Linked DNA regions of Neurospora crassa OR74A. The protein of the gene in region 1 purifies or fractionates together with the protein of each later gene. This does not show direct contact. Links are inferred from orthologs where the notes say so. Each region holds a gene or a part of one and is shown on either strand. Other genes may lie near its edges.

Region 1 (10,892 bases):
CCAACGACTGCAGTGGACAACCAACAAACGGACACCATAGTTGGTGGGAAGTTCGGACGGACGGGTGAAAGGGCAACCTAATGACTACCTAGGTAGTAAGGTAGGATAAGAGTCTCGTAGAGTCGATTGGGCATTTAGCGAAAGTACTGAATGATAGTACAGGAATAAGCAAGTATAGAGAAAAACTGGGACGATTCAGGTAGATGCCGAGAAAAGGTCAAGAAAACCACCCAAAAATTCACTAGAAGAAGGTTCAGTTTTGTTTGAGAATGGAACTCCAAGTTATGTAGAGGTACGTTTTGTATTTCCCGGCTGTGGTGTCCCGGAATTTGGGTAGCAATGGCCCACCCACAGCAGAAAGACACTCAGTGAGACCCAAACGGTCCACGCACGCATTGATAGGCTAGCCGGCCTGGGTACCTAGGTACTTGGGTATGTACAATCTGGGCTGTGCCGCGTAGGTACCTATCATGATATAGACCTAAATACCTATGTCTAGTACTTGTTGGCGTTGTACACTTTTACACGACAGCATAGACTAGTTCTACAGTATGTAGTATATAGACCCTCCCCCCCCCCTCCCTTCCTCTCCCACGTCCCTCTTTCAGTCCCTCTCTCGCATCTTCATCTCCATGCTTCGCTCGTCTCCTGCTCCCTCATCTACAGCCCGCTAGCCCCAATGTCGCCCGCACTCCGATGCCCATTTTGCCAGCTCTTTGATGTTCCCTAACCCGCCTACCGTCGCGTCCCCAATCGAGACATTCTCGGCCTTTACGGTGCATCTCGTCGTCTATCGCAACTTTTGGCTTGATTCTAGTACATATGGTTCTGTGGTGCCGCCACAAGCACACGAGGTTTTGGGCAACTGCCCAGCCATCCAAACAGCCGCCCACCAGCCACGTCCGGCGCGACCTCGTCCCATCATGAGGCTGGATATGCCTCGATATCAAAACATACGCCTGATGCTAGTTGCGAACCCGCCTGTCTCGTCTCAGTCTAGCGATCCCGAATCAGGCCTGGCACGTGCGCGCCACATCCTTCCCATGTACAAAAGAGCTCTTCGACGACTGCCCTAGCTGCGGGTACTACATAGCTCTCTTCCTCTGTGATAGAGTTTAGACCACCCGCCGCCGCCGAGTCTCCTCTCGGTGAACCCTCGGTGAACCCTGCGGAATGTATGCATGGATGCACCCCTGCCGCAAGCATCGGACCAGCATTGTTGAGCCACGAGGTTCCCCACTCCCCAGACGTGGACGGGGCCGGCAAGCGGGAACACGGGGAAGATCGTCCCGGACACGTCCCAACGGGTGCCTACCAAACAGTGGCTGAGTGGCTACAGGAGTCGGCGCCGCTGGTTTCGACGGTGGAAGCTTTCTCTCATTGCGACTAGTTCCTGGTATGGGCGGTTAGCGCAAGGACATCAAGCGATTATTTTATTGCTCCGAAAGAACGGCGCCGGTGGACGCGATGAAGTCCATGAAACGAAAATGATCATTCAGCCTGAGCCAGCATGTTCTTACAGACAGGCTGGCCTGTACTGCGCTTTTTCAAATTATACTAAGAGTATGGGATCGTCAACGAGATCCATTGATTGCTATGGAGTGGAGTGGAGAGGAGAAGAGAGAGACTGGCGGAGTCTTGAAGGCTAGAAACGGTGCGGTCTATGAATAGGTCCCTCGCATTTGCGCTTCGAGCATTTGAATAGCATCTACCAGCTGTTCAGGCATGCTCAGAAAAGGGCAGTGGCCTGATTCAAGCGTGACGGCTTTGGCCTCTGGTCCAAGTTGCGCCGCCATTTTCTGCTGGGCGGCCAGTGGTAGCGCATGGTCCTTGGCACAAAAGATGTAAGCACAAGGTATCCCATCCTTCCAAGGCTCGTAGCCACTGGGCGTTGCGAAAAGCGCGGCTGACGTGTGCGTCATCTCGGTCATCCATCTCTGCTGTTCTTCGGCGTTGAGGTCGTTGAACATAACGTCAGCCAACATTTCTTGACGCCCGAAAACCCGGTCGCCCTTTTGATCAGTTAGCAATAGTTGCAGCTGACGTGAGACTCACACACAATGGCGGACCGACTTACCTTGTATTCCATCCACGGGAGAGGTTTTCCACCGAGCATATCGAGCAAAGCCTTGCCATGAGGGATCGCGAAGGTGGCCAAATAGATCATGCCTATGACATTGTCCTGGCCTTTTATCGCGTTGCTGCCAACTAGGCCACCGGAGGAATGACCCAACAACAAGGCTGTCTTGCCCTGGCGGGCAAGCTCGCCGAGCACGTATTGCACCGCTGCAACGTCGTCAGCTAGACGGTGGAGAGGCGTCGCTGTGCTACCAACGGTACGCAGTTCGACATGGATAGCCTCGAAACCTGCGGTGTGTAGTTGTTGCACAAGGTCATTCCAAACGACGGGCTTCTGCCAAGCACCTGGCACGATGACGATGACCGGCTTGGACATGATGCAACTGTGTCGTGAAGGTGTTTTTTTGAGAGGGGTTTCTAGGTAGGCTTGAGGACATATAAAAGAGTGTGGGAAATGCGTTATCGAATAGACGATTTTCCTCTTTTATCTTCAACTAGTTTGGGAGGTCGGTATAGCATAAGATCCCTATACCATCGGCATTCCGAGTATACACTTTTCCGAGATCCCTACTTATACTATCGACATCCTGGTGTATATCAACTTTTCTGAGATCCCTATACGAGCTATTGATACCTTGGGGTACATCACTTTTCCGAGATCCTCATACTATCGACATCCTGGACAAGTATACGTGATATCGCGCTGGTATATAAGCCCCAGAGGCATGTCACTATACCCCGTCGACATGCAGACCAGAATTTCAACCGCCAACCTGCTCCAGTTGCTGGTTCTTTTTCTTCCAACTCGGACTGTTCAGTGCTCTAGCGTAACACGTGCGCCCGCCCCTGAAAACATGACTTCTCAACGAATTGACGTTCACCACCATTTTGTCCCGGAGTTTTATGCACAAGGTGCGTCCAAGGCGGTTTGCATCCGTTCTTTTCTTTTTCCATGGAAGTGCTAACGTTGCCATAGCCTTACGAGCTAACGGTGGTGACCCCTCGGGATGGTCCATCCCGGACTGGAGCCTGGAGAAGGACCTGTCCTTCAATGACGAGCAACGCATATCCTTTGCCTTTCTTACCATCACTGCTCCCGGTGCTGAAATTCTCCCCCTCGTCGAGCAGGCTGGCTTTTGTCGACAAGCTAACCAAGCGGCCGCCGAGATCCGTGCGGCCCAGCCAGCCCGCTACGGCTTTTTCGCTACTATTCCGTCCTTGCTTGACCCCGAGGCTGCCCATACAGAGATCATCCACGCGCTGGATGAGTTGCAGGCCGACGGCATCATCTTGTACACTCGCTACGGATCGGACAACCATTATCTAGGCCACCCGGACTTCCGCTCCACCTGGGACCTGCTCAACAAACGCCGCGCCACCGTCTTCGTTCACCCAACGCACCCCGTGGACACCCACTGGGTCAACCCCTCGCTTCCGCAGCCCATGATTGACTATCCTCACGAAACTACCCGTACCGCCGTCGACCTGATTATCTCGGGCATCATGCGTGAATTCACCGACGTAAAGATCATCCTCTCTCACGCCGGTGGCACCTTGCCCTACCTGGCGCTGCGTCCAGCCGCGGTACTGCCGTACCTTCCACCTTCGATTGCGCCCCCCATTGTTGCAGCAGCAGTAGCAGCACAGGAGGGCCACCACCCGACTGACGTTACCAACCAGTTCATGGAGGACGCCAAGCGGTTCTACTTTGATACAGCATTGTCGACGGGCTCCCATACTCTGTCGCTGTTAAAGGAGTTCGCAAAGCCGGACCACGTGCTGTATGGTAGCGATTTCCCTTATGCGCCGTCGCCCGCTATTGCAGATATGAACGCAAGACTGGACAGGTACGGCGCGGAAAAGGACGAGGCATTTGTCCAGTCCGCTGCGTCGGAGGCTGCGTTAAAGTTGTTTCCTCGCTTAAGCAATGTCCTATCAAAGAATTACTATGCTTAGGTCGCGACTACTAATATAGTTTCACGGTGTTAGAAAATAAAATAAATAAAAAAAGGAATGAAAGGATACACGGCATGTCTCTGTCCGCTATTCTTGTATCTATATCATGAATTAGCCGTGATCTAAACCTCTAGGCCTAGGTCTCAAGGAGAATTCGAGTAGGAGTAGTACCATGTCTCTAGCAGCAGCAGCAGTATGGGTAGGTATCAGCGGGCCTCCCCGTCGTCGTCGTCATAACTTATACTATCCAACTATGTTAAAGCACCAGATTGTAGATAAAGACTAGAACTTCAGTTTGACAACCTGAACACTTTGGTGGCCCTGAGACTTCATTGTGTTCCTTCTCCTTCGTCGGTCATCCGCCTCGGGGGTGCAGTGTCTTCAACCTCATCTGCTCGGCAACTGAGTTGCAGTCATGACAAAGAAATTAATCATGTGATCGGATGAGAAGCGAGTTTCACATTGCTTTTCTCCATCACGACGAGCAGCCAGCGCGTTTGATGATCTCCGAAGTTTGATCTTTTTTTCTTTTTCTTTTCATCTCTTGATGATTTTGTTTTCTCATCTCAAAGTCACGAGTAAAAAAAAAAAAACAAACTGCGAGTAGCCGGCTTGTGACGTTGGTGTTTTTGTTGCACAAACCGTTATCAGTTTCATACGAGTTGTCCAGGCGCTTGTTATTGACTGAATGGAGTGTAAAGAGAAAAGGTTGTGACTTGTAATTGATATTCTCCGTCTTCACTCTAAGCTTAGCTCATGGTTCAAGTAGTTTTCATACGCGCTTCGTTATAAATACATCTGTGGCTAGATAAAACATTCAAGTCATCATCAATACGCACGCTGTTGTTGTTGTTGTCAGCAACAGGTTACTAGACTACCAACTCGCTACCATTTCGAGGCCAATGCTCCAGATACACATCCCTAATGACATGTTAATCATAGATTCACATACCGAGGAGATGATGATTGTCAATGAGCGTGTCATGCATCAAAATACTCTTGGATTTTTACTCCAGTCAATTAATTATATGTCAGTCGACTGTCTCCAGTTGATAAAGGCGACAACTTACACGACTTACAATCACGACGGCGGGGATGCAGCACGATAAGATAACGCCAAACATTCACACGACATGGAAGCCCAAGCAGACCAATCAAAAGAAGGAACTTGTGAAGAGGACGGGACCCTGGAAGCTTGGCGTTTTCTGGCCTGGGGCTGGTCACTATGGTACCTAGTCGCTGTAGGTAAACTTTATCGGCTTGGCGGGGCCTCCAATCGATGGCTCCAACCAATGGCTTTTGCATCGCATCGCCGTCAAAAAAACTAAAATTCCCACTTGGAGATTTCAACAATTCGTGAACTTTGAGCCCCGCAAAGTCACCACCACGACAAGACCTCGACGCGTGCCTCCCTCCCCCAATCCGATTTCGACCCTAATCGACTTCCCCCGATTCCGATAACCGAGTATCCTCTCTTCAACACTACCCGAACTAGACGGAACGAACCTACCACCCATAACCAATCCGTAACCATGGCAGCCGAAGTGCAGCCGCTGGCGACGCTCAAGTTGCCCACGGTCGTCAGCCCCATCACGGCCGAGCAGCGCTACTGGAAGTCCTTCAAGAACCAGAAATCACACACCTCGACGGCAGCATGGCCCATCTCGCACATCAGCTTCCCCGGCTCCAGCAACGGCTCGGCCGCCTCGCACTCCCTCGTCGCCGCCGCCAAGACCAACGACCTCTTCGCCGTCACCTCGGGCCCCCGCGTCGACATCTTCTCCATCCGCAAGCGCGAGCTGCTCAAGACCATCGGCCGCTTCGACTCCCAGGCCCACAGCGGTGAGATCCGCGCCGACGGCCGCGTCCTCGTAGCCGGCGAGGACTCCGGCAAGATGCAGGTCTTCGACGTCGGCACCGGCACCCGCGCCGTCATCCTCAAGACCTGGCACGTCCACAAGCAGCCCGTCTGGGTCACCAAGTGGTCACCTACCGAGCTGACGACGCTCATGTCCTGCTCCGACGACAAGACGGTCCGTCTCTGGGACCTGCCCTCCAACGCGCCCTCGCGCCTGTTCGCCGGCCACCAGGACTACGTCCGCAGCGGCGCCTTCATGCCCGACCGCAACAACCTCCTCGTGTCCGGCTCCTACGACTCGACCGTCCGCGTCTGGGACGCCCGCGCCCCCGCCGGCTCCGTGCTGACCTTCAAGCACGCCGACCCCATCGAGGAAGTCCTCCCCTTGCCCGGCGGCACCACCCTCTTGGCCGCCACCGGCTCCGCCATCTCCGTCCTCGACCTCGTGGCCGCCAAACCTTTACGCCTCATCACCAACCACCAAAAGACCGTCACGTCACTCAGCCTCGCCTCCAACGGCCGCCGCGTTGTCTCCGGCTCTCTCGACGGGCACGTCAAAGTCTTTGAAACCACCAACTGGAACGTCGTCTCCGGCTCCAAGTACCCCTCGCCCATCCTCTCTCTCTCCGTCGTCGCCGCTGGCTCAGGCCACGAAGACCGCCACCTAGCAGTCGGCATGCAATCCGGCGTTTTGTCCTTGCGCACCCGTTTGTCAGGCGCCACGGCGGAGAAAGCCCGCGCCCGCGCCGCCGAAGACGCGCTCATGGTTTCAGGTGCCTCTTCCAAGCTCGCCAAGATCGACTCCGCCAAAGCCAAGCGCAAGCGCAACGCCGCCTCCAACAAATCCATGGCCTTGCTCGGCGAAAACGTCGACGTGATCATCCCCACCGACGCGCCCAACTCCGCCGGAGGCCGCAAGCGCCGCGTCAAGCTCAAGCCGTGGCAGCGCGACTTTCGCGAGGGCCGGTACGCCGCCTGTCTGGATGCCGTGCTCGACCTGTCCTCTCCGGAATACCAGCCCGTGACGGCCCTGTCCGTGTTGGTGGCGCTGCGCCACCGGTCTGCCCTCCGCGAAGCCCTGGAAGGCCGCGACGAAGTTACTGTCCTGCCTTTGTTGAAGTGGGTCATCAAGTACATCTCGGATCCGCGGTACGCGACCGTGTGCGTGGACGTGGCGTTCCAGCTGTTTGATATCTACAGCGAGTACGTGGGCGGCAGCTCCGAGTTGGCGGATCAGTTTGCTGTGATGACGGGTAAGGTGAGCAGGGAGGTGGAGAAGGCGCAGATGGCGATTATCACGAATGGTATGGTGGAGAGTTTGATGATTGGTGGTGCTGAGGCTTAGGAAGCTGAGCGAGCTTCGGACAAGGCCCTTGAGGCTGCAGTTTGACCAGAAGAAGGTCATGATGGTTGGAAGGGAAAGGGAATGGAAAGATACGGATGAGCTGTGTGGATGGATGGAGCATAAGAAAGATGTAAAGAACGGATGGGATGTGTTGTTATACCACAAAGCAGGAAGGACGGGGAAGGGGGAAAAAAATGGAGAGGGTAAAGGATCCCGGATGTGTTGGTTCGGTTTGGTTCGGTTAGGTATCATGGTTTTTTCTTGATATCAAGCCCTGCATGGCGTCGGCGTTCAAACATTCTTTTTTGGCTTTTTGTACTAATCTGGGCTCACAAAAGTATACATACGGTCACATAAAATAAGGGGTTGGGACTAGATACCTCGAGATAGATACCTTAGGAGAATCAGTAAAAGCCATTCCAAATGCCAGGCTTATTGCGTGACCATGGACTCTTCTGGACGACGCCACCACGATCAAGAGCTTTATTGCAGTGTCAACATTCAGCGTATCCAATAGAATTATGACTATAAATGACAACGTAAACATCTCGCTCCAAAGTCCTCGCTGAAGATCGCTTCAACTTTCCACTTAGTCATAGTCCTCCCTCCTGACTAGGAGAATAGAATGAGATACAGAAAGAGTCTCTCCGGTGAGCCACTCACCACCCTCTGGTATCTGGCCAGACATCGAAAAGAACTCCCGGTCTGCCTCTGACGCCTGCTTTTCCAAGTGCCTTCCTAGGGCTGACTGTTGACAGCCCGACCAGAACTGCTGTCCCACTCTGTCATTGAAGACCGCCTCAATGGCGAGCCGTTCCCTTCTCGGGGGGTTTCCAACACGATAATACTATGTCGTCGTCTTTTCTGTTTTTTGCAGCCAAGGCATCAACCCAAGATGTGTTTGAGCATCAGATGCTTGCCGAACCAGCGTTTCGTTCTCATTATCGTATATAGAAAGGTTTCATCCTTCCGTCATTGCTTACATGCCACCAAGCTCGGCCTCCAGGCCACCGTTGTACGCGCCATACTCATGTGGCCTAGGATCTTCAGCAGTCCATTGTTGGCTGTGCACATCAGTAGGCATGGGCACCTGAGCGGGAGCCTGGGGTTGAGCACCGCCCTGTCCTTGACCACCGGGCACGGTGCGCACAAGCTGTCTGAACCTGAAGACTTCATCGAGAATCATCTTGCGCATCTCGCCGACATCATCGACAACCTCAAAGTCGAAGTTGAAGGGGGTAGGGCAGTCGGGCTCGTCGCTGGCATCGTGCCAGATGGCAAGGTAGGGGTGCTTGAGAGCATCCTCAACGCTGATACGGCTGGTAGGGTCGAAGGCGAGCATGCGGTCGAGGAGATCGAGGGCGTCGGGGTTGGCCTGGGGGAAGAGCTGCTGGAAGGACTTCTTGGGCATGGGAGGCAGGTTGCGGACGTATTCCTGAGCTCTAGGAGAGCCGATACGGGAGAGGGTCTCCTCATTCGGTGTGCCGAGGATGTGCAGGATCTGGTTCAGCTGATCGACGTAATCTCTGCCCTTGAAGAATGGGCGGCCACCGAGAAGCTCGGCAAGGATACAGCCAACGGACCATACATCAACTAAGGAATGAGTGTTAGCCTGAAAACGATATCAAGGGGGCAGCTTGAGGAAAAGACATACTGGCTTTGGTATAGTTCTGGAAGGACAACATGATTTCAGGAGCACGATACCATCTCGTGGCAACGTACTCCGTCATGTAACCTGCGTTCTCCTCGGGGTCGACGGAGAAACCACGCGCAAGACCAAAGTCGCAGATCTTGAGCTCGCAGTCGGCATTAACCAGCAGGTTACCGGGCTTGAGATCACGGTGCAGAACGTTTGCCGAGTGGATGTACTTGAGACCGCAAAGAATCTGGTAGATGAAGGACTGGAAGTGGGCGTCTGTAAGTGGCTGACCGGACCTAATGATAGCAGCAAGATCGCACTCCATCAACTCTGCAAAAGAACCCCCAGGTTAGTATGTAGGCCCATCTTCTCGTGAGGCATGAGCCATGACGTACCCTCGTAGAGATAGGTCTCGTTGAACATCTCTGGCCGGGGAATGTCCATATCGTAGAGGCAGGTAATCTAAAGAACCAGAAATCGCCACGGTCAGCTACCATGCATCGATTGTAATATGTGTATGTGAGCAACCTACGTTACGGTGGCCCCTGAAGTGTTGGAGGAGCTTGATCTCGCGCAAGGCGCGCTTGGCTAGGATCTTTTTGCTGAAGACATTGGTGACCTTTTTGATGGCGACTCCCTCGTTCGTCTGGGTGTTTACGGCGGCGCTGTTTAGGAGGAAAGGGAGGTCAGCTTGAATCATGAGAATATGGCATGACACATGTAGATGCGCCGCGGCCCAAAAGCACAAGCGGCTAAGCAGGAACGGGAGCAGGAGCAGGTGGACGTACCAGACAATGCCATAAGCTCCCTGACCGAGCTCCTTGGTGACGGTGTAGCGCTCGTCGACAATAAAGTCCTGATTGAAGACCTTGAAGATCTTGCGACCCACGAGATCAGCCATGGCGAATGTGTCTGTGTGGTGTTTCGGGGACGGTTCGTAGTTGGAGAGAGAGGTGGTTCGGGTGACCTTTAGGCGCAAGTTTGGCAACGGCCTGGAGGTGGTGTCGTGGGGTATGTAAGCTCAAGCGCGATCAATGTCTTGAGAAGTTCGGACGGGGGTATTTGAGAAGTGTCGAGGAAGAGTATACGGGACAAAAGTAAGATGTAGATTGAAAAGGCGGGAGCAAGGCAATAGACAACCGGCTAATGTAGCATTGAAGCCAGGCAGAGATGGAGAGAAAGAAAGAAAGAGGAAAAAAGTGGTGATGATCAAATGAGGTTTGCAGAGGGTAGGGTGGTCCTTGGCACAAGTACACTACTGAAGAGTCGGAAGCCCCTGGGATACTGTAGTCTAGTGCGTGATGGGATATATGTGTGCCACCTACTCGGGCAATTTGCTGACTGGGCCGGAGCTGAGCTTGCGCTTTGGCTTCAACTTGGTGCTATTGATTGCTAGTTTACGGTTGGCGTATTTTAAGAGAAGCAATGGAGACGGGATTCGAGCAGCTTAGGTTGTTTAAACCGACGATGGATATCATTGAAAGTGGAAAACGAGCAGTGACGAGGGGAGAGCTTGAAGAGAAGCTCGTGTTTAGCGAAGTCAAGGACCTGCTTGGCCGTGGACCTCAATGGTGCAGTGGCTACCTAGGTCCCCTGGGCTCGAAGCGGACACTGGAATGGTGAGGAGAGGAAAGAGGGGCGCCGAGGGACCCCGACCATGCGACCGACCACTGCGCTGATCCCGGCACCAGAACGGGACCTGAGCGAGGGGCTGTCTGTGAGGCAACGCGGGGTCCGCTTCCATTCCCAAGAGCCCGCCAATGTCAGCGGGCGCAAAAGTGCAACAAACCAACGTGACTGACGAATGGCGGCTTGTCGGTTCCTGACGAATGATGGCCGTTTTCAGGCTTGTCGCTGGTTGCCTCTTTTCCTGTCCTTCTTTCCACTTTCCCATCCATCATTGCCCAGGGGTACTAAGTACCTACTCATTGCTGAACGTTTAACTCGTCCAAGACTTAGGTAGTTTCCATTGCTTACAATGGCGGCCTCTCTCATCCTTGAATGCAATGAAATCT
Region 2 (7,246 bases), on another chromosome or scaffold:
TGATGGAGCAGTGTACCAAGGAGATACAGGACTTCGCTTTCATCCCCATGCGCGGCTCTATTGGCCAAGATGGCGAGATTGGCAAAATCCAGCCAGATGCCCGTCGTCTCCGAGTAGTGCTGGCCATTAGTGGATGGCTGACCGACGAGTCGGACGTCACTAACCCCTGGAGGGCTTTAGGACAGGCGAATGAGGTATACGCTGTGCGATGGGAGGTGGACTCGCTCTCGAAGATGGGTACAGCTTTGGAGACTGTCGTAAGGAGCTCGGCATGGTCCATGGCAAAGAAGGAAATCATTGCTCGGACCAGTGAGCCTCCTTTCAATATCCCAAAGTGTAACCTCTCGAGACGCGCTAACAAACATGGTCCAGTTTTCACCAGCATGACGGAATCCCTTTGGCCACTCGGCTTGCTCAAGATCAACAAAATTATCGATAATCCCTGGAGCGTCGGCATGGTCCGCGCCGACAAGGCCGGAACTCTTCTCGCCGACGCCATCATGAACAAAGCCCACGGAGAGCGTGGAGTGACGCTGATCGGTTACAGTCTCGGCGCCCGTGCGATCTATGTCTGTTTGATGGTCTTGGCGGAGCGCAGAGCTTTCGGTCTTGTCGAGAACGCCGTCATGATGGGTACGCCCGCACCCTCGGAGGCCCGCGTCTGGTGTACCATGAGGAGCGTAGTCTCTGGCCGGCTTGTCAATGTCTTTTCAGAGAACGATTACCTGTTGGGCTTCTTGTATCGGACGAGCAGCATCCAGTTTGGCGTTGCAGGTTTGCAGCGGATCGAGGGTATTGATGGTGTCGAGAATGTTGATGTCTCTGCTAAGGTCAGTGGACATCTCCGATACCAGTACCTCGCCGGTAGCATCCTAAAGCACATCAACTGGGAGGACATCAACCAAGAGCAGGTTAGCCGAGATGAGGCAGCCATGGTAGCCGCAGAAGAAAGGGTGCGAGAGCGTGAGAAGAAGCGAGACGCCGTCGAGCGTGGAATTGTGGTGATAGACAAGGCGAAGGAAGCTGCAAAAAATGATCCGGGTATTATCAGGACCCGGATGAGGAAGAAGAACAAGAGGTGAACGCTGAATTCGACTCGTCGGGAGGAGGGGAGGGGGAATTGGTGAACGTTTAACTTTGGCTTTCTTGGGACCTAAGTTCCTGCTCATGTTTATGTTATGACAACGACAAGGGGGTGGCAACGCAGGGCTCATAAGAAATGAGACAGAATTCGTACGTTATCTAAATAATTGTAGGATTAGCTTCAGTTCAGTTAGCTTTCTATACCAGAGTAATCTCTGGCGGCCGATGTGGATCATCTGGGTAGGGCACACTTAGTATGATACAGCAATCAAATATTGTAGTGTGGCGTTTGCATCGCAACAGCGTCGGGTAGTCCCTCACTCAGTGATTCTTGTCCCTTGAATACCCCTCGGAAGACGTGAACTCCCAGTACAGACAGGCTGGGCATCTGACGCGGTTCCCTGAAAGGCCTGAAAGTCCCGGCCCCGCGTGTTGTATCAACGCATTAGGTTTTCCGTCCTATTCCAAATCTTCCAGGCTCTCCACACGTTCGGCATCAGTTAGCAGATACAGAGCCCTCCTATATAGTCAGACCACGCAGACCACAGCCCTTATGCCTTCTCCAGGGCGCGCGAGACGAATCTCGGCCATTTTCCCCTTGATCATCTACTCCCCCTTCTTCCCACTCCTGACAACAAAGTATCTCCCAACCTTTTGCTCAGCTGATCCCAACACATCCCAATCCTCAGCCTCATTTTTCTTCTTTTCTTTCAGCTCCTCCATCTTTCTCCGCCTCGGCCGCAGGCAATGACCAACAATATCCTCCTCCGCCAGCGCCCCTTCAAGCATCTTCAGATCAATTGTGCTGTCCGCCAGTCCCTCCGGAGACTCATCTCGGATCGAACTCAAGGGCGCCAGCTCCTTGGCTTGATCTGACGGATCCGTGGTATCCACCGACTGGATGGCCCGCACGAAGTGCAGGTGTGAGTGCAGAGCCGAGAGGAGGCGGGTGGTGGAGGCAGGGTCGGAGGCGGAGGGCGGGGGGAGGGCGGAGAGGCGGGCGAGGTGGTGCAGAGTTTGGGGGGTTATTTCGCTTTCTTCGGGTTGGGTTGACGAGGATGGTGTGGATGATGGAGGAAGAAGAGAGCGGACGGACCAGGTTGGCGTGGAGAGGATGACTGATGGGCTGATTTGTGATGGTGGAGGGAGTTTGGAGGAGCCGCCGCGGGCGGTGAATTGAGGGAAGGTTTCGGTTGTAAAAGATCGTGAGCGGGAGAAGTCACGGGTTGATGGCTGGCTGGAGTTGGAGCTGAAGCAGGCTGAGAGGGCCGAGGAGGTTGAAAGAGCTGCGCGGTGGCAGGCGCGGCAGATGGTTTTTGTTGTCATGATAGCCTTGATGGGAAGAAAATGCCTCGGTTTTCAAGGTAGTATAGCTGAAAGGGAGATGTTGACTTGCGTTGCTCTATGAGGTTTGCATATGATGTGGCTTGGAGATTATTTGATGCTTTAATGGGTGGTTTCAGGTGAGGCTCTGGTAAAATGTCGCGATATGAGAGGTTGAGATGAAAGAGGACGAGACATCCTTTGCGAGGTACCTACCTATTGGGCGTCATAGCTGAGCTTTGGTAGGTTGAAGGCTAGACCCCTGCCACCGGGCCACTTGGTCAGGCAAGCTACCAGCCCTCAGGGAACCTGCTCAGGCGTCAAGGGCTTGGCGAGCCGGCATCAGCGATCACAGCCCGCTAAAGTGATCATCCCCCCAATACTCGTGCTCCGCCCCCACTTTTTTGGATCTCGCCAAACTCGCACCAACTAAAGTTGGTGCTCACGACTGCAACGGCCACACCACCACAACGGCCACCATAGTGAGCATAGTTCAGCATCAAGATATCAGAAGCTTGTAACTCATCACAACAACCAATTGAGATAAGTAAAATACTATAAGTATAATTAGGGAAGTACATCGTATATAGGAAGCATTTTTCTGCTTAGAAAAGCCAATACATTAGAAAGATTATGTTTCTGGCCTATAAATCAAGCCCGAAATTGCACCTCTAACCCTAACCTGGCCGTTGCGCTGGTGTGGCCGTTGCAGTCGTGAGCACCAACTTTAGTTGGTGCGAGTTTGGCGAGACCCAAAAAAGTGGGGGCGGAGCACGAGTACCGGCCAACCCCCCAATCCCATGCCCGCATACCTTACCCCGGGAGACAACGAAACACCTCGGGCTCCTGCAACCACCAACACGACACCATCCCGACCAACACCTGAGCTTCTTCGAGCGCGCCCGATTCCGAACAATTGGGACACCCATCAATCGGCTTCATACAGCGGACGCGACTCCAACTTAGAACTTTGCCCATCTATATACCGTCTAATAACTTGCCCTTCATGGCTGTCGATCCGCGCGTTCTCCAACAAGAGGTTTGAAACCTGCCCCTCCTGGCACCTCCTGACACTTTCGCGACACCTTGCTGATGCCGAATGCGAACACCAGGCAGAGAAGACCCTCGCGAGCGCGTCCAAAGGCTGGGGTCTGTTCGGAAACAAGGAAGACAAGTACCAAAATGCGGCGGATCAGTACATACAAGCGGCCAACGCTTTCAGGTTGCAGAAGTCAAGTACGTCATCACAATCATCAACACCCACGATGCGCTTTCGGGCCATATGAACCTCGCGGCAAGTCCTAACGTTCTGCCCACTACCCAGACACCGAGGCCGGCAAGTGTTTCGAGGAAGCTGCCAAGATCTTCACTGAGAAGTTGAAGGAGCCCAACGATGCGGCGAATGCCATGTTGGACGCCTTCAAGGTCTATAGGAAAGATGCCCCGGATAATGCTGTGCGCTGCGTCGAGGTTGCCATCAAGCAGTATACCATGGCGGGGAACTTCCGGAGAGCTGCGTCGCACAAGGAGAACCAGGCTGAGGTCTACGAAAACGAGCTGCAGAATAAGCCAGAGGCTATCAAGGCCTATACAACTGCGGCCGAGTGGTATGAGAACGACGGTGCTGTCGCGTAAGTGATTAATGCCCACGGCTTTTGCGCCATGTTACGAGTCCAACAGGTCGTTCTAACCAGCTGTGTGTAGTCTTGCGAACAAGCTGTGGCTCAAGGTGGCCGACCTCTCTGCCCTCGCGGGCGACTTTTTCGCCGCTATAGAGAAGTTCGAGAAGGTTGCGGAGGCTTCACTCGGCAACAACCTGATGAGGTACTCGGTCAAGGAGTACTTCCTCAAGGCCGGTCTCTGCTCCTTGGCGACCAAGGATATGGTCACTGCTCAGCGTAACATCACCAAGTATGCCGAGAAGGACCCATCATTTACGGGCCAGCGCGAATACCAACTCCTGGTTGACTTGTTGGAAGCAGCCTCAAACAACAACCTCGAGATGTTCCAGGATAAGCTTGCCGCGTACGATAAGATGAGCCGGCTCGATGACTGGAAGGCGGCTGTTCTTCTCCAGATCAAGAACAACTTTGAGGAGGCAGACAACGAGTTTTCATAAACAGGGTGGAGGAACTTGTGATATACAGCCATTTATCACTTTCTGGTTTCCTTCTTTCCTTTTTCTTTTCTTTGTTATCGTACCGGCGTTTTCTGGTTGGGAGGGGGATGAACTGTCATATCATGAATACGGTCATCGACGCTTTGGTGATTTACGGAAGACCCAAACAAACCTGCTGTCTGGGGTAGAGATGGGCTTAAAGCAATAGAAACTTGTTCCTAGTGGGTACGCGTTGTTCGTACGATCCAACATGAATTGTTGTATCTCATAACCTTGATGGCTGCCCAAGCGAAACATAGGTACCTCTATAAGCATGAGATGCCATAGCTAACCCTGGAGTTACAGTTGGGAGCCGCTTCGGACTAGCGCCAGACCCTTATCAATGACAGCGGGTGGGGCGTGCGCGCCGATAAGCGACAACTTTTCGAACTTTTCTGTTCTTCATGACATCGATTTCAGCACTGCGAAGCGGCTTGCATTGTCCCACTCCAGCGCCATTCCATCACATTCACGATGGCTTCTTCTCCGTCTTTGCAGGAGAAACTGGACAAGATTCGGTCTCCGAATCTCCAGAGCCAGAAGCAGGTAAGCCAGAGTCATGATGCATCTCTCCTTTTTCCATCTTTTGTCTTCTGCATCCCTACCCTCTTCCTTCCAGCCTGCCATTGCAGTGGCCTGTCGCAAGGCCGCCTCCATCGTGGACAATGGACCCTGACTTGAGCCACAGACTGCCAGTGTCCTCGAGGCTATCGAGGCCACCTTCAAGGAGCGCAATACACCCGCGACTCCTACCGCCTACTTCGCTGCCCTTCTCAGTCTACTCAACAACGAAAACCTCGCGACCCCCGTCGTCTACCTCCTCGATGTCGTCACTCCCTTCGCTCCAAAGCCTATTCTTCAGGCCAAGTTCACTCAGATCATCACCATCCTCGCGCCAGTACTATCCCTCCCCGATGCCGATGCTCCCCTCATGAGGGCCTCGATCGGCTCTCTCGAGAGCTTGCTCCTTGCTCAAGATGCGACACAGTGGGAGCTCGGTACCGCCCAGATTGGCCCCCGCCGGGCTGTGGCCGGCCTCCTCGCCCTTGCCCTCGACCCGCGTCCCAAAGTCCGCAAGAGAGCCCAGGAAGCGCTCAGGAACATCCTGAAGAACCCTCCGCCGAGCCCGTCTCTCGACCACCCCGCCGCCCCCATGTGCGCCGAGACAGCCATGCAGAGCCTCCGTCTTGTCGCTGACAAGGCCGCCGCCCAGAGGAAGGAAAAGAAGACTACCGACTCTACCCACGATCCCGAGCTTATCCACGCCTTGCAACTCGTCAAGGCTGTCGCCTCTGGAAGCGGTGGCTGGCCCAGCAAGAGCATTGAGTCTTTGTGCGAGCTCCTTCTCAGCATTGCCCGGACGGGCAACGAGCACATGAGCATGGCTGTCTTCGAGATCTTCGAGATGATGTTCGAGGGCATGGCCGCCGACGAGGTTGCCTCCGCCAAGCTTCCTCGGCTGCTCGAGATCATCAGAGAGCTCCGTCCCGCGCCCAACGATACCCAGCTTCTCCCTCCCTGGATCGCCATTCTGTCGAGAGCCTACGATGTTGCCGGTCAGATTTCGCCCGCCGAGACCTTCCAAGAGCTGGTCGATCCTTTCACTCTGGTTGCAGGATACCTCGAGTCCCAGCACAAGAATATTCGCGTTTCGGCGTCCGAGTGCTTGGTCTCCTTCCTGGCCAACTGTGTCCCCAAGGAGGCCATCCTTGAGCCTTCGATTTTTGACGAGAAGGTCATTCAGCAACTAGTCAAGGTTGTCGAGGGCCTTCTCACCGTCCAGTACCAAGCTGCCTGGATGGAGACTTTCAACGTTCTTGGTGCCATGTTCGATGCCTTTCGGTGGCAGGCTAACCCTTACCTCCTTTCCGTCGTCAAGAGCATCGGCGAAATCCGCGGTAACGATTCTTTCGCTGGAAAGCAGGAAGCCGACGAGGTCCTTGGCAAGGCGATTCGTGCAATGGGTCCTGAGGCGGTCTTGAATGTTCTTCCCCTGAACCTCGCGAAGCCCGTCAAGGGTCAGCCTGGCAGAGCTTGGATGCTTCCTCTTCTCCGTGACTACACCTCCAACACCAATCTTGCACACTTCAAGAGCGAATTGGTTCCTCTCAGTGCTATCATGTTCCAGCGTGTGATTGAGCACCAGGGCGAGAAGAACATTCACATCAAGATTTTCGAGACTGTTGTTCAGCAAATTTGGTCGATTCTTCCCGGCTACTGCGACCTTCCACTTGATCTTGTCGAGGCCTTTGACACAGGCTTCGCTGAGATGTTGACCAACCTTTTGTATGAGCAGGTTGACCTGCGCTTGGATATTTGTCGCGCCCTCAGGACCGTTGTTGAGTCCAACCAGGCCATCGCCACTTCCGATGAGGTCGATGACCTCATTCTCTTTGGCAGGGTCAGCAAGGAGCAGGCGCAGAAGAACTTGGAGTACCTCGGAGCCACCTTTGCAGCTGATTTCCTCGCTGTTCTCTTCAACGTCTACAGCACCACTCTCCCCCAGAAGCGCGGCCCTGTCCTCCAGACCATCAACGCCTACCTCAGCATCATCCCTCCCGCGCGTCTTACCGAGACTTTCGACATGGTGTGCGAGAAGCTCGCCGAGGCTCTTCAAGAGGCTGTTGAGAAGAAGCCCCAACAACAGCAGAAGGCCGATCACATGCCTTCTGCCGCGCACAC

The links. Proteins that work in one complex are often made in the same cells at the same time.
Region 2: the proteins of NCU09843 (region 1) and NCU01675 purify together in Saccharomyces cerevisiae (affinity purification with mass spectrometry, with the first as the bait; 3 studies listed by BioGRID). This does not show direct contact. The link is inferred for Neurospora crassa OR74A from reciprocal best matches to the Saccharomyces cerevisiae genes UTP15 and RRP12.

What each region holds. Positions count from the first base shown.
Region 1 is NC_026505.1:5,920,727-5,931,618, reverse strand, and holds NCU09843 (WD repeat containing protein 57), read left to right. Parts: upstream 1-5,385; 5' UTR 5,386-5,567; coding exon 5,568-7,238; 3' UTR 7,239-7,667; downstream 7,668-10,892. Other genes in the region: NCU09845 (hypothetical protein), read right to left, coding at 1,662-2,012, 2,078-2,455; NCU09844 (amidohydrolase), read left to right, coding at 2,805-2,991, 3,056-4,035; mak-1 (mitogen-activated protein kinase MKC1), read right to left, coding at 8,218-8,831, 8,893-9,207, 9,273-9,339, 9,410-9,542, 9,666-9,778. UniProt on the Saccharomyces cerevisiae protein: Involved in nucleolar processing of pre-18S ribosomal RNA. Required for optimal pre-ribosomal RNA transcription by RNA polymerase I together with a subset of U3 proteins required for transcription (t-UTPs).
Region 2 is NC_026502.1:2,740,127-2,747,372, reverse strand, and holds the start of NCU01675 (90S preribosome component RRP12), read left to right. Parts: upstream 1-4,942; 5' UTR 4,943-5,038; coding exon 5,039-5,110; intron 5,111-5,252; coding exon 5,253-7,246. Other genes in the region: NCU01672 (DUF726 domain-containing protein), read left to right, coding at 1-1,082; NCU01673 (hypothetical protein), read right to left, coding at 1,690-2,409; NCU01674 (alpha-soluble NSF attachment protein), read left to right, coding at 3,413-3,445, 3,519-3,642, 3,731-4,037, 4,111-4,525. UniProt on the Saccharomyces cerevisiae protein: In association with GSP1, required for nuclear export of both pre-40S and pre-60S ribosomal subunits. Required for the late maturation of the 18S and 5.8S rRNA of the pre-40S ribosomes and for maturation of the 25S and 5.8S rRNA of the pre-60S ribosomes.